Alligator mississippiensis: one gene and its partners. The protein of the gene in region 3 purifies or fractionates together with the protein of the main gene of each other region. This does not show direct contact. Links are inferred from orthologs where the notes say so. Each region holds a gene or a part of one and is shown on either strand. Other genes may lie near its edges. The genes, in order: PARS2, PRKAG2 and PRKAA1.

Region 1 (3,744 bases), on a different chromosome or scaffold from region 3:
AAGACAGAGTATAGAGTCCAAGTAGATGCCAGGAGAATACCGAGCGGTACCACAGGTGGGAGATGGAAAGCAACGGAGAGCTAGTTATGGTCACTCTAATAAGCAGTGGTCACTGCACACCAGCTGCCTAAGACTACACTGCCTTGTTTCAGCACAATACACATGAAAGTCAGCAATGATGCATCAATGTAGCTGCTGACTGGCTTGCTACAGGTTTGGCTGAGATGGTGGCACAATTTTAGCACTGCCCCTCCAACCTCTTCCCAGTCCTGAGCACTGCACGTCCCGTACTCTCCTGACCAGTGGCGGGCAACAGCCTGCACCTCCCCTAGACATGCTGCACTCCCTTCTCAGCAGCTTTCACCTGGCCCTGAGTAGAAATAGGGAAGAGATGAGCTATGGTTTGTTAGCGTCCCCGCTTGCCAAGGTATGCTTGTAGGAGGCAACTGCCTGAAGCGACTGTCCTCTCTTTCCTTCCCTAAAAACTCTTGTTCCCATGGGGGTCGGGCACAGTGTCCTTGCCTGGTTGATCTTCTCTGTGCCATCACCCAATCTGTTCCCCACTCCCTTCCTTCCTATCTCTTTACACGGCAGCCACGGCAAAAGGCGTGAAAGGCCCGGCACGCTCGGACCGTTCTCTTCCTCCCGCCTGGTTTACGGGGCAAGCTCCTGTACGCCGGCAGCTCTTCAGTAACAGCGCCAGTGCCTCCTGCTCCCCATCGTGGTGACGGTGGGGATCTTTTCCAGTCCTTGCTCCACTCACATTTCGGGCAGTTTCACTGGGCCACGTCCACTGGCTCTTTGGACTCGTTTGAGCACCAGCGGGCCCTGCCCAGCGCGGCCTCCCCTTGGTGCGCTCAGGCCCATCGCCCCCATCCCCGATTTCCCTTCCTTTTGTCCCAAGAAAGTAGCTGTTGCTTTAGTGGCCTCCCTTTCCAAGGGAGGCTTTAAACTTCGTCCCGGTGGGCAGCGATCCCTCGAAGGTAACAAATCCCCGGCGCGTTTCGCAGGCAGGGCTGACAGCCTGGCTTGAAACGCCCGTGCGGTGGCACAGACGGCCCAGGCGGTTTGGGGACGTTGGGGTGCTATCGACAGCTCCTGCCTCCAAGCTCTGCCCTGCTGCCAGGAAGGCGACTGATGATGTTTAATGGGAAAGGGGGGTTGCATCGGGCCAGGGAGCAGGGGCAGCAAGCAGAGCCCCCTGCAATTGCACATGCATGCTCAAACTGCAACCCTAGCAGCCCCCTCAGAGCTGGCCTTGCAAAACACCCCCTGCCCAGCAGGCAGAGCGCTCATCTCGGTTGCAACCCGTTTGTAGAGGCGATGCCCGCCCCAGCGCCCCCAGCCCCTGCGCAGTCAGCTCCAGGGAGCAGGACAGACAAAAGGATCATAGAGTTTGCCCTCCGAGCGGCAGGAGGGGTGGCAGGAAACCACCCCGCTAGCCGCCCTCTCTATGGTATGCTCCTTCCGCAGGGTGAGCATCCGCATCCGGGGTAGGGCACTGCGGTGTGACATGCGGGTTCGCTTTCATTCTGATTGGCTGGCGGCTCCGAACGCTTCCTTCCTGCAGGGAAAGCAGCGTGGTGGCTCTCCCGCACATGCGCGTGCGCTTCCTGTGCTCCTTGCGGGCTGAGCGGGGCTGCCCGGGGATCCCCGTGCGGAGCCAGGCTTCACCCCACGTTGGCTGCAGCTCGTGCATGTCGCTGCCCCCCGGGAAGCACAGGGTCTCGCTTCCAGGCACTTGGCCTCACTTTGCTTGTCTGTAAAATGGGTCTGTGACACCGCACAGCTCTTCTAACAGTCTTCCTGCTGCGTGGGTGCGAGGTGAGGTGTAAGCCCCGCGGGGGGAGGAAGGGAAGTGCGGGGTTGGTGGCTCTTCCAGCCCTTTGCCCTCGGTCGGGGAGGCGCAAAGGCAAAAGGACCTCAGTAACGTGATGCCCATGTCTGCGTCCTGCTGCAGGTTGTCCTCCATGGGCCCGCGCATGGGAGGGCTGCTCAGGAGGTGGAAGGAGTTGCTTCCCGGAGCACCGACCCACGCCGGGCCGGGGCAGCGCTGCCGCCAGGCGCACCACGATGGCTCCACCAGAGCCAGGCGAGCGGCTGTGTCCCAGCTCTACCAGCCTTTCAATCTTCGGGAAGACCACGCGGCGGACCCGGAAAGCAAACCCGGTGACCTGACGTGCAGAAGCCAGAAGCTGATGCTGCAGGCTGGCCTGATCTGCCCTGCCCAGAATGGCTGCTATTACTACATGCCCTACACCGTTCGAGCGATGGAGAAGCTCGTCCGGGTGATCGACCGAGCGATGCAGGGCATCGGAGGGCAGAAGGTCAACATGCCCAGTTTAAACCCTGCGGAGCTCTGGAGAGCCAGCGGGCGGTGGGATGTAATGGGCAGGGAGCTCTTCAGGCTGGCGGACAGACACGATCAGGAGTACTGCCTGGGCCCCACGCACGAAGAGATCGTTACGCATTTGGTTGCCTTGCAAGCAGCCTTGTCCTACAAGCAGCTTCCCCTCCTGCTGTACCAGATAACGAGGAAGTTTCGGGACGAACCGAAGCCTCGCTTTGGTTTGCTGCGCAGCAGGGAGTTTTACATGAAGGACATGTACACGTTCGACACCTCCGAGAAGGCTGCTCACCAGACCTACAGCCTGGTGTGTGACGCCTACTGCAGCGTGTTTAACCGCTTGGGACTTAGCATCTTAAAAGTCCAAGCAGACACGGGCAGCATTGGAGGGACCATGTCTCACGAGTTCCAGCTCCCGGCCAGCATCGGAGAGGACAGGCTCGTGGTCTGCCCAGGCTGCAACTTTTCTGCCAATGCGGAAACGATAAACTTTGACCTGACCGACTGCCCGGTTTGTCACGGAAAACTGACAAAGACCAGAGGGATTGAGGTCGGGCACGCGTTCTATCTGGGCACCAAGTATTCCTCTGTTTTTAACGCTACCTTCCAAGATGCCGAAAGCAAACACGTGCTAGCGGAAATGGGCTGTTATGGGCTGGGCGTCACTCGGATTCTGGCTGCTTCTGTTGAGGTGCTTTCTACGGAGGACAGAATCCGTTGGCCAAGCCTCATTGCCCCTTACCAGGTCTGCCTCATACCCCCGAAGAAGGGCAGCAAAGAAGAGGTGGGAGTGGCGCTGATGGAGAGCTTGTACGATGATATTGCTGATGGCGTGCCTCAGGTTAAAGGGGACCTGATACTGGATGACAGGGTTCACTGGACTATTGGTAAAAGATTGAAAGATGCTAACATACTCGGTTACCCGTACGTTGTAATAGCTGGGAAGAAAGTTTTGAATACACCTGCTGAGTTTGAAGTTTGGAGTCAGAACACTGGAGAGGTCTTGTTCCTTACTAAAGAAGGTGTTATTGAATTGTTAAGTAAAGTGCAAGTTCCCTAAATTTTGGTCTGCAGTCTTTGGTGTCTTCATGTGTATCCAATTCCATCAGCATGTATTCAGCACTATCTTTAAAAGTCATTTGAGGGCCAAATACAGCACTCATTAGAGAGGAAGCCTCACTGAGCCATTTGCAGCACGGTGCTAGAAATCGTGTCCTGAGCTAATCGTCATCAGATGGGGAATTTACTTTAACAAGAGAGTGATTCTTTTTTTATTATTATTATTCATAACAAAAACTCATGCTTAGTGGGGGACCTAAGAGCTTAATAAGCACACAGATCTTAAATGTGAATGTGCAGGACATTGGCTTGTACCTGCAGATTGCAGTCCTAATGCC
Region 2 (3,744 bases), on a different chromosome or scaffold from region 3:
TGATGCTTCAGTATTCAAACTACCCTTTTTTCCCTGCAATTCTGGTGTAAGTTACCCACTCCTCTAATTCTAGCTAAAAACTTTAGCGCAGATGTAAAAATGACTGACAGCGAATATCATATTGGAAGCACTGTCAAGATGCTTAAGAAGGCTAGATTTCGTTTTATGACTCTGACTAAGAGATGTACATTTAACTGACTACAGGAGTAACGATACAGTATCTTTTGACTATTTTTTGACCAGTTTGTGTTGGATATTTAAAAAAATGTAATCTATATCCTAGCAAATTAGTGTGGATTCCAATCGTTATACTTGTTCTGGCTTTGATCTTAAACTGAATGATACAGTGCTAGCCCCTTCCCATATTAAAAATGCTTCTAATTTATCGTTAACTGGAGAAAAATGTGTTGTCACATAGGACGATGTGCCACACCATCTGCACCCGCTTTTGCAAAATCCCAGATTTCCCCATGACACTAAGCAATTTCTGAGTTCGTCATGGGCAATTCGTCAGCTCGAGAACGATCTCTATCACAGTTCATTGACGTCTCTTGAGATGACTTGAAAGTCCAATCCTTGAGCCACAAGATTTTCCCACAGAAGTTGCAGGGATTCCTCTTCTTTCCTTCCTCTGCTTTGAGAGAAGACATTTTACCTCAAAATGGGCTGAGGTTGCAGCGCCACTGGAGTCAGTCACCAGCCAGCTCCTCCATGCTCTTGGGGTCGGCATCTGGTTTCTTGAGGTCTGCCTTCAGTGTGTTCCTACGGGATTTCCTCCGACCACTGCAAGATCTCAGGCCTTTCCTCAGCTGGGAGCAGAGCACTCGTGGTGGGAGTGGAGAGTCGGGTGTCCGCACACAACGTCCGGTCCAGCGCATTTGGTGCTTGAGGATCCCCCGCTCCATGCTGGTAACGTTGGCGTCACAAGGATGCTGGCGTTACACACCGGGCTCCCAGTGAAAATGGAGTGTGGGGGCACTTTCTAATGCCCTAAAACACAGATCTGCCAAAAAGCACAGCCAGCGTTCGCATTTCCACCAACTCCGCTGTGCGCCCCAGGCTTCGCTGAAGCCGGTGTTACCAGCCTGGGGTGGGTGATCCGCCAGCACCGACCTCCTCGGCCCGGAAACAGACTTAGGCACAAGCTAAGTAAACTACAGCCCGCAGCCTGGCATTATGAGGGGCCTCTAAATACGAACAAAACATGTAGTAAAACCTCGCAAATCCGGCATGCTTGGGATGGAAATTTGAAAATGCCGTTTTGTTTTCAAACCGACACTCGTGGGCCGCTGCTGCCGGCCCGGCCCGGCCCAGCCCGGCCCTCGGGGCGGCCGTGAGGCGCGGCGCGGCGCCCCTGCGGGCGCTGCGAGGGAGGCCCGTTGGGCCCGCCCAAGGCGCGGGGGCGCGGCTCGTCCTGCACTCGAGGCGGCGGCGGCGCCTGGCTCCACCTGCCGGGGGCGGGGGCGGGGGCCGGAGCCGGGGCTGGGCCGGGCGCCTGTAGCGGGTTGTCGCCCGGGGGAGCGGTGCGGGGCCGCGGAGGCATGGGCAGCGCCGCCATGGACCCCGCCGGGAAGGAGGCGGCCGGCGCCGGCGGGAGGAAGGGCCCCGGCCACAAGAAGCGCGCGCTGCGGGTGCACATCCCGGTAAGTGCCTCGGCGCCGCGCCCGGGACGGCTGGCTCGGCTCGGCTCGGCTCGGGGGCCAGGCCTGGCCGAGCTGCGCCCCTCCGCGCCGGGGCAGTGCGGGGCACCGGCCCTGCCTCGCCCCTCCATCCCACCGAGGGAAATGCGACACGCCTCCCGCCCGCCCGCCCGCGGGGAAAGTTTCTTCCTGTTTGTGCTGCGAGAGCCGGGCTCGTCGCACCCGCCCGGGGCGCCCGGCCGCGCCGCCTGCCCTGCCCTGCCCGGCTTGGCCGCAGCAAGGCGCCGGGAGCGGATGCTCCGTGCCAGGTTTCCCGTGGTTGGTGGGTGCAGACAAGTGGAGGTGTCGAATGGGCGCAGGGCGGCGTGGGGCTGCGTGCCGCGCGTCCACGCGGGGCTGTCCGCTCTCGGGAGGGCGCGAGGCCCCGAGCCGCCCCGCGCCGACTTCCCGTCCCGCAGCGTTTCGGCGCAGGCGGCATCAGGCGAAACGAATCCCGTCTCTGCTTCGGGGCTTTCAACGCGTCTGTCGCTAGGGTGTCTAGATATCGGTAATACTTCTCAACTTAACAACCGTCAACCGATGGTCTTGAAGCATACGATTATTCCCATTTTACAGATGGGGAAGCTGAGGCATAGAGGGATTTATACACATACCTTTTCGCGTGCACTGACGTGCGCCGTGCTGCTTCGCGTGCAGTTGGATAAGTGGCAAAATGCGCAAGAAACCTCTGATGTGTTTTAGTTCAAAACGTCAGCGTTGACTCGCATTTTCCTGCTTGTACAGATTTGTATGCGCCGCAGCGCCGCGTGCTTTCAAAAGCACCCAGTGCTGCCGCACAAGCATGTGTACAAATGCCCCAAGTGACTTTCCAAATCAGTGTCTTGGACTGAGTTAAAAAGAGAGGTCAGATGTTTTGGCTCTTTATTTTTTCTCCCTAAAACTCAAGGCTGCCTTTCTTCTCCAGCCTCAATTTTGTCCTCAATGGAAAACCTTTAGACAAAGAAGATAATTCATTTTCCATGTCCGTTAATTTTTTTTTGCCTCCCTTGAACAGCCTGCTAATGTCGGTTGTCACTTGGCAAATGCTAGATATGTGAATATCTGCTGCTAAAGAGCCGATCTTGCTGTCGCTCAAGGCAGTCAGAGTTTCAACACTGATTTAGCTAGGAGCAACTGAGACCTGCCTCTCCTTCCCCTTGCCAAGCGGATAGATCCCCTCCCTCTTTTAGTGAAATTGGGGCCTGCATTCCTACAAATGGATCAAAGGGCCTAGACATTTCAGGTGTGGCTATATATTTATCAGCAGGTTTCTATTTTCTGGTATGTTGCGGTTTAATTGTGTTGAGTGTTTTTTTTCCCCTCATCCTTCTGGTTTGACAGTGGAATCTGCATTTGAAAAGATCCATTTAGACTGTGGTTTTTTTCCCTCTCCTCTTTCATAACACTTTCTTGGCTGTTGTTTTGGAGCATGATTTCTATTATTTCAGTGGCGCCTGTCAGTGCTTCTGTAGTTGTCAAGGGAGTTTTCATCAGGCAGTATTTTTTATTATGCTTATCCTCCTCCTCTTCGTCTAGCTGCAAGATCACGTCTGTTGCTGAGAGACTTAATTCTTGCTCGTTGAGATCTTTGAAGTAAGGCCAAAGAAAGGGAAGAATAAGGTGTGCATGGAAAGCAAGATGGAAGAGAAAACATGAAGGGAGAGACCTACAAGAAAGAAATGATAAAGATTAAAAGTCTGATACTGTTTGGTATCATAGTGATGTTAATCCGAGCCATTTGGTAAAGCTGCCCTAGAAAGCATTGACAATCATTAGCAAGAAGCAGAAAAAGTCTAAAAACTACATGAAAATGGGATTACATATAAGGGCAAAACAATGTAGCTAGCAGTAGTTATACCTGAATGGAAGGTGTAAAGGTTCTCTGTTACAGATTTTTCCTTTTTTTTTTTTTTTTTTTTTTAGGAGTTACCTAAACAGTGGGAATAATTGATGAGCTTGAAAAAAGCCTGTTTTGTCTTGGGTCACTGTGGAAGGATTGTACCTGTTTCAGATGAGTATGGTGGGAGGAACCAAGAACATAATATACCCACTTCTTTCAGAGCCA
Region 3 (3,744 bases):
AATTTGTTTCACTTTGCATTATTGTTTTATTTTCCCTCATATAATGTGTAGATGTTTATATATCTATAATGCCTTCAGCGGTTTTGCTGCCAGTTCTTTATGTGCTGTCTCAACATTTAGTGCTGTGGATAAGACTTCTCATATTTGAACTCCGGAGGAAATGCATGATCAGGAGAACCTTAGTGACTCTCTCCTGTCCCCCTTTTGGCCTTGACAACTTGTTGGTTGACCTGAAGTTTGTTTGAAGCTCACCTCTTATCTTGGATGGCTCCTAAGAGTGTAAAACAGGGAAAAGACATTATGTGATACTTACAGCTCAAATGTGGCCGAGACACAGGCTACCACACTTAATCTCCCTGGCTGCCCTTCTGTTCAAACATGGCCCTAACACTGAAATTTGACTTTAAAAAAAAGTCACTGCATCACTGTCACAGGCCAGCTAGGCTCCTGGAAAACTGTGAGTTTGACTGGATTCAGTGGCAGTGGGAGTCCCATTGCTAGGAGTGTACAACCCAGGCTTTGTATTATGTCCAAGAAGTAGCGCGTGTCCTCCTTGCGGGTTTCTATTCTAAATTGTGAGTTCCCAAGCCTCCTTGTGCAGGTGCTACCACGGAGGTGGCAGGGTAGGTTCCTGCCTTGTAGCTTGTCCAAAATGTGTTTGGTGGGGTGTGGAGTGGAGGCTACAGATACACACGCATACTTTGGGCAGGGCACTTGCTTGGTCTAAGCTGAAGTGAGCAGCAGTCAAGGAAAGCGTGGGCGGGTCGGTGGCTTTCTAATGTAATAAAAGGCTTAGTCTATGCGTCTGTCCATAATACTTCTGGTCAACTTTGCATGCGCCCCCCCCGAAGGCAGGCGGTGATTGGCTGAGCAGCCCAGGCTGCACAGGCCCAAGTTTGCGTGGCTACCGGGGAAGCTTGCTGGTGCGGAACATGCCCTGGCTGCCGAGTAGCGGGGCTTCCCCCTCCTCCCGGACTGAGGGGGGGATCACTGTAGTGGTGTCGCCTGCCCCACCAGAACAGCTGGCAGGGAGGGAGAAGCGGCGGGCAGGGAGGCGGATGCGGGCCAGGCGGACCCGGAGCAGCAAGGGGGATGAGTGGGGTCGGACCCGAAGCGGCGGGGGGAGCAGGGCACACATTTCTGTGTCCACACCACGCCATTTCTATAAAGACGCACGGCGCGCCACGTGCACCGGGCAGACTCCGACCCTGCGCCCACCCGGGCGCTGGAGCCGACTCCTCCCCCTGCGCCCCTCCCCCTGGGGCCGAGCTCGTCCGCAGCCCCCAGCCCCAATGGTCCGTCCCTGCCCCCGCGCAGGTGGACGGTTCTACACTATCCCTCCCTCCCAGCACCAAATGGTTCCTCCCGGGGGAGCGCCCAGGGCTGGAAGCACCGCGCTCACTTCCGGGTTCCGGCTCTGGGGGGCGGGCACTGCGGCTGCTGCTCCCCGCCCCTGCCCCCGCCCGCGCCGGCGCTATGCGCAGACTCGGCTCCTGGCTCAAGATGGCGGCGGCGGATAAACAGAAGCACGAGCACGGGCGGGTGAAGATTGGCCACTACATCTTGGGCGACACGCTGGGTGTCGGCACCTTCGGCAAGGTCAAGGGTGAGGCCTGGGCCGCTCGCGGGGCGGGGCGGGGCGGGGGTCGTGCTTTCCCGCCCCCCAGGTGGGGGCTGGGCCGGGCCTGTGCGGGGGGCCCGGCTCTCACTGCGACCTGGGGTCCCGGGGAGGCTGCAAGAGTGAGGTGTGCGGTGGGGGCTGGGTCCCGGCACCAGCGCCGCACGTGGGAGCGGTGCGCAGGGGGAGCTCAGGGCAGTGGGCTGCGAGGCGCTGGGTGTCGGGGACAGCTCTTGGCGCAGGGTTGATCTTTGCCCTGGGCAGGGCGGGCGTGGGTACGGGCTTCCCGCTTCAGCGTTATAGCACACAAAAGTAATACAAGAAGAGCCGGCAGGCGTCTTTAGGCGTGATATCTTTTATTAAACCAACTAAATAGCTGGGGGAAAGCTCTCTGCAAGCTTTGGGGCACAAGCCCCTTTTTCAGGCAGTGGGAGACCAGACGAGCCAAGGTTTTCTGGAGCTGGAGCAGTAGAGCACACCGGCTGTGCAAGCGGTCCCTGGGATGTTGCAAACATTTGCAGGAACCAAATGTTGAACCTAATGGTTTGTCAGTGGGTGGTTCCTCCTGTTTTATGGCAGGAAATAACCCCTCTCCGGAGGCGAAATGGCTTGATTTCACTTTCCTGAAATCAGAAGAAAACCTACTTGCTGACGACTGGCATTGCACATGCAGTTACTAGTGACTGTGCTGCACTTGCATTAACATTTTTCTGAGTTAGGCAAGGCAAATACCACATTTAATAAACATAGTCTTTGCATGTAATATTTTGAGGTTTCTTGCCACTGAAATGAGATGCTCAAAAGGCTTTTTGCATTTCGTAGTTTTGTTTGCACCAGCACTGATACTTGGCATCCATCCAAGATGGGTAGGTTTTTTCACTCTAAGTGGGAAAAATAGGAATGGAAAAGTTTTGAAGTTCTTAAGATCATGCTGAGGGTTAGTGGCAGTCATACTCCACCTCAAATAAGGCTCTAGATTGTAAATCTGCTAGACAGGTCTGTGGCATGCTTGTTAAAATAAATATGGGCCTTTTTTAAATACTAGGGGCTTCTAAGGGAAGGTTTGCTTTTTAAATTGACCACTGGACTGTTGCAGAACTGAACCATAACCCAAGCACTATTTGCTTTTCTTCTTAAACAGTCAATGTTGACTTTGGTGTGTGTGGGGGAAAATTCCAAGCATGGCTAGGGAAACAAAAAAGACATCCAGAATGTAGTGAAGTTGTGATTTAACCTTAGTATTTTTAAGATGCTTAAAGGCAAGTATATTTGGGGAGCTTCTTGCCTTGAAATAAAAAGCACAAAAAAAGCTTAGTGTACCTGCAGACATGCCTAAGAAAGATTTCCCCCAGGGTTCAGACAGCATTGTTACGATTACACAAGCGAATGAGAGTCAGCACTTCAGGTATTGCTAGCAAACCCTGTGTCTAGCTGGCAAAAAACAAACAAACAAACTGTTGTACATATTACGGTACTCCCTTGTAATTTCTGCATTGCTAAAATTGTCGCCAGTCCTTTCTATAACGTCTGGCTGGATAAAATTAAGCTTTGAAGTTTCAAGAGACATTCAGACATCGCTTTAATTACAAGTAGTTCCTTATTGCATTGACTCTTGTTGGTGATCTTTTGTCTTGGGACATCTAGTTACCAATTCTTTGTAGTTCTGTTGAGGGCATGACATTCTGTTAGCAGGACTTCTTTTTGGTTGTTCAGCACTCTTAATTACTCTTGTTGGAGGGAGTGGTTTCCCTAAGGACAGCTTAGTTTTCTTACTTGCGGGCACCTCTAAAGGGCGTTTGACTACTTTGCTAAACTGTAAAAGGGGCATTTCCTTAAGTTTTCAAGTCAGCCTCCACAGAGAGGAATGCTTTTACTTCTGAGCTTTCTGCAGTCAAGGATGGAGAAGTATAAAAGTGAAAACCTTAAATGTTAGGCAGAAGGCAAGGTAGAGTAAGACAAAGCTTAAAATTTCCTTTGGTTGATCATTGTGGTGAGACTTCTACAGGATTCAGTATTCCCCCTCTTCCCTCCCCCCCCCCCTTCCCTTTTCCTTTTACATACGTGCTAATAGGCAGGTTTGCCTCTTCAGTTTTGGCTCTGGTTCTTTCTGCCATTTTAAAAGCTTG

The links.
Region 1: the proteins of PRKAA1 (region 3) and PARS2 purify together in Homo sapiens (affinity purification with mass spectrometry; 3 studies listed by BioGRID and IntAct, with this or other methods). This does not show direct contact. The link is inferred for Alligator mississippiensis from reciprocal best matches to the Homo sapiens genes PRKAA1 and PARS2.
Region 2: the proteins of PRKAA1 (region 3) and PRKAG2 purify together in Homo sapiens (affinity purification with mass spectrometry; 8 studies listed by BioGRID and IntAct, counting the BioPlex papers as one, with this or other methods). This does not show direct contact. The link is inferred for Alligator mississippiensis from reciprocal best matches to the Homo sapiens genes PRKAA1 and PRKAG2.

Annotation. Positions count from the first base shown.
Region 1 is NC_081828.1:11,064,459-11,068,202, reverse strand, and holds PARS2 (probable proline--tRNA ligase, mitochondrial), read left to right. Parts: upstream 1-1,515; 5' UTR 1,516-1,824; intron 1,825-1,960; 5' UTR 1,961-1,970; coding exon 1,971-3,407; 3' UTR 3,408-3,408; downstream 3,409-3,744. UniProt on the Homo sapiens protein: Mitochondrial aminoacyl-tRNA synthetase that catalyzes the specific attachment of the proline amino acid (aa) to the homologous transfer RNA (tRNA), further participating in protein synthesis.
Region 2 is NC_081828.1:207,041,287-207,045,030, forward strand, and holds the start of PRKAG2 (5'-AMP-activated protein kinase subunit gamma-2), read left to right. Parts: upstream 1-1,492; 5' UTR 1,493-1,541; coding exon 1,542-1,643; intron 1,644-3,744. UniProt on the Homo sapiens protein: AMP/ATP-binding subunit of AMP-activated protein kinase (AMPK), an energy sensor protein kinase that plays a key role in regulating cellular energy metabolism.
Region 3 is NC_081826.1:275,805,322-275,809,065, forward strand, and holds the start of PRKAA1 (5'-AMP-activated protein kinase catalytic subunit alpha-1), read left to right. Parts: upstream 1-1,431; 5' UTR 1,432-1,476; coding exon 1,477-1,606; intron 1,607-3,744. UniProt on the Homo sapiens protein: Catalytic subunit of AMP-activated protein kinase (AMPK), an energy sensor protein kinase that plays a key role in regulating cellular energy metabolism.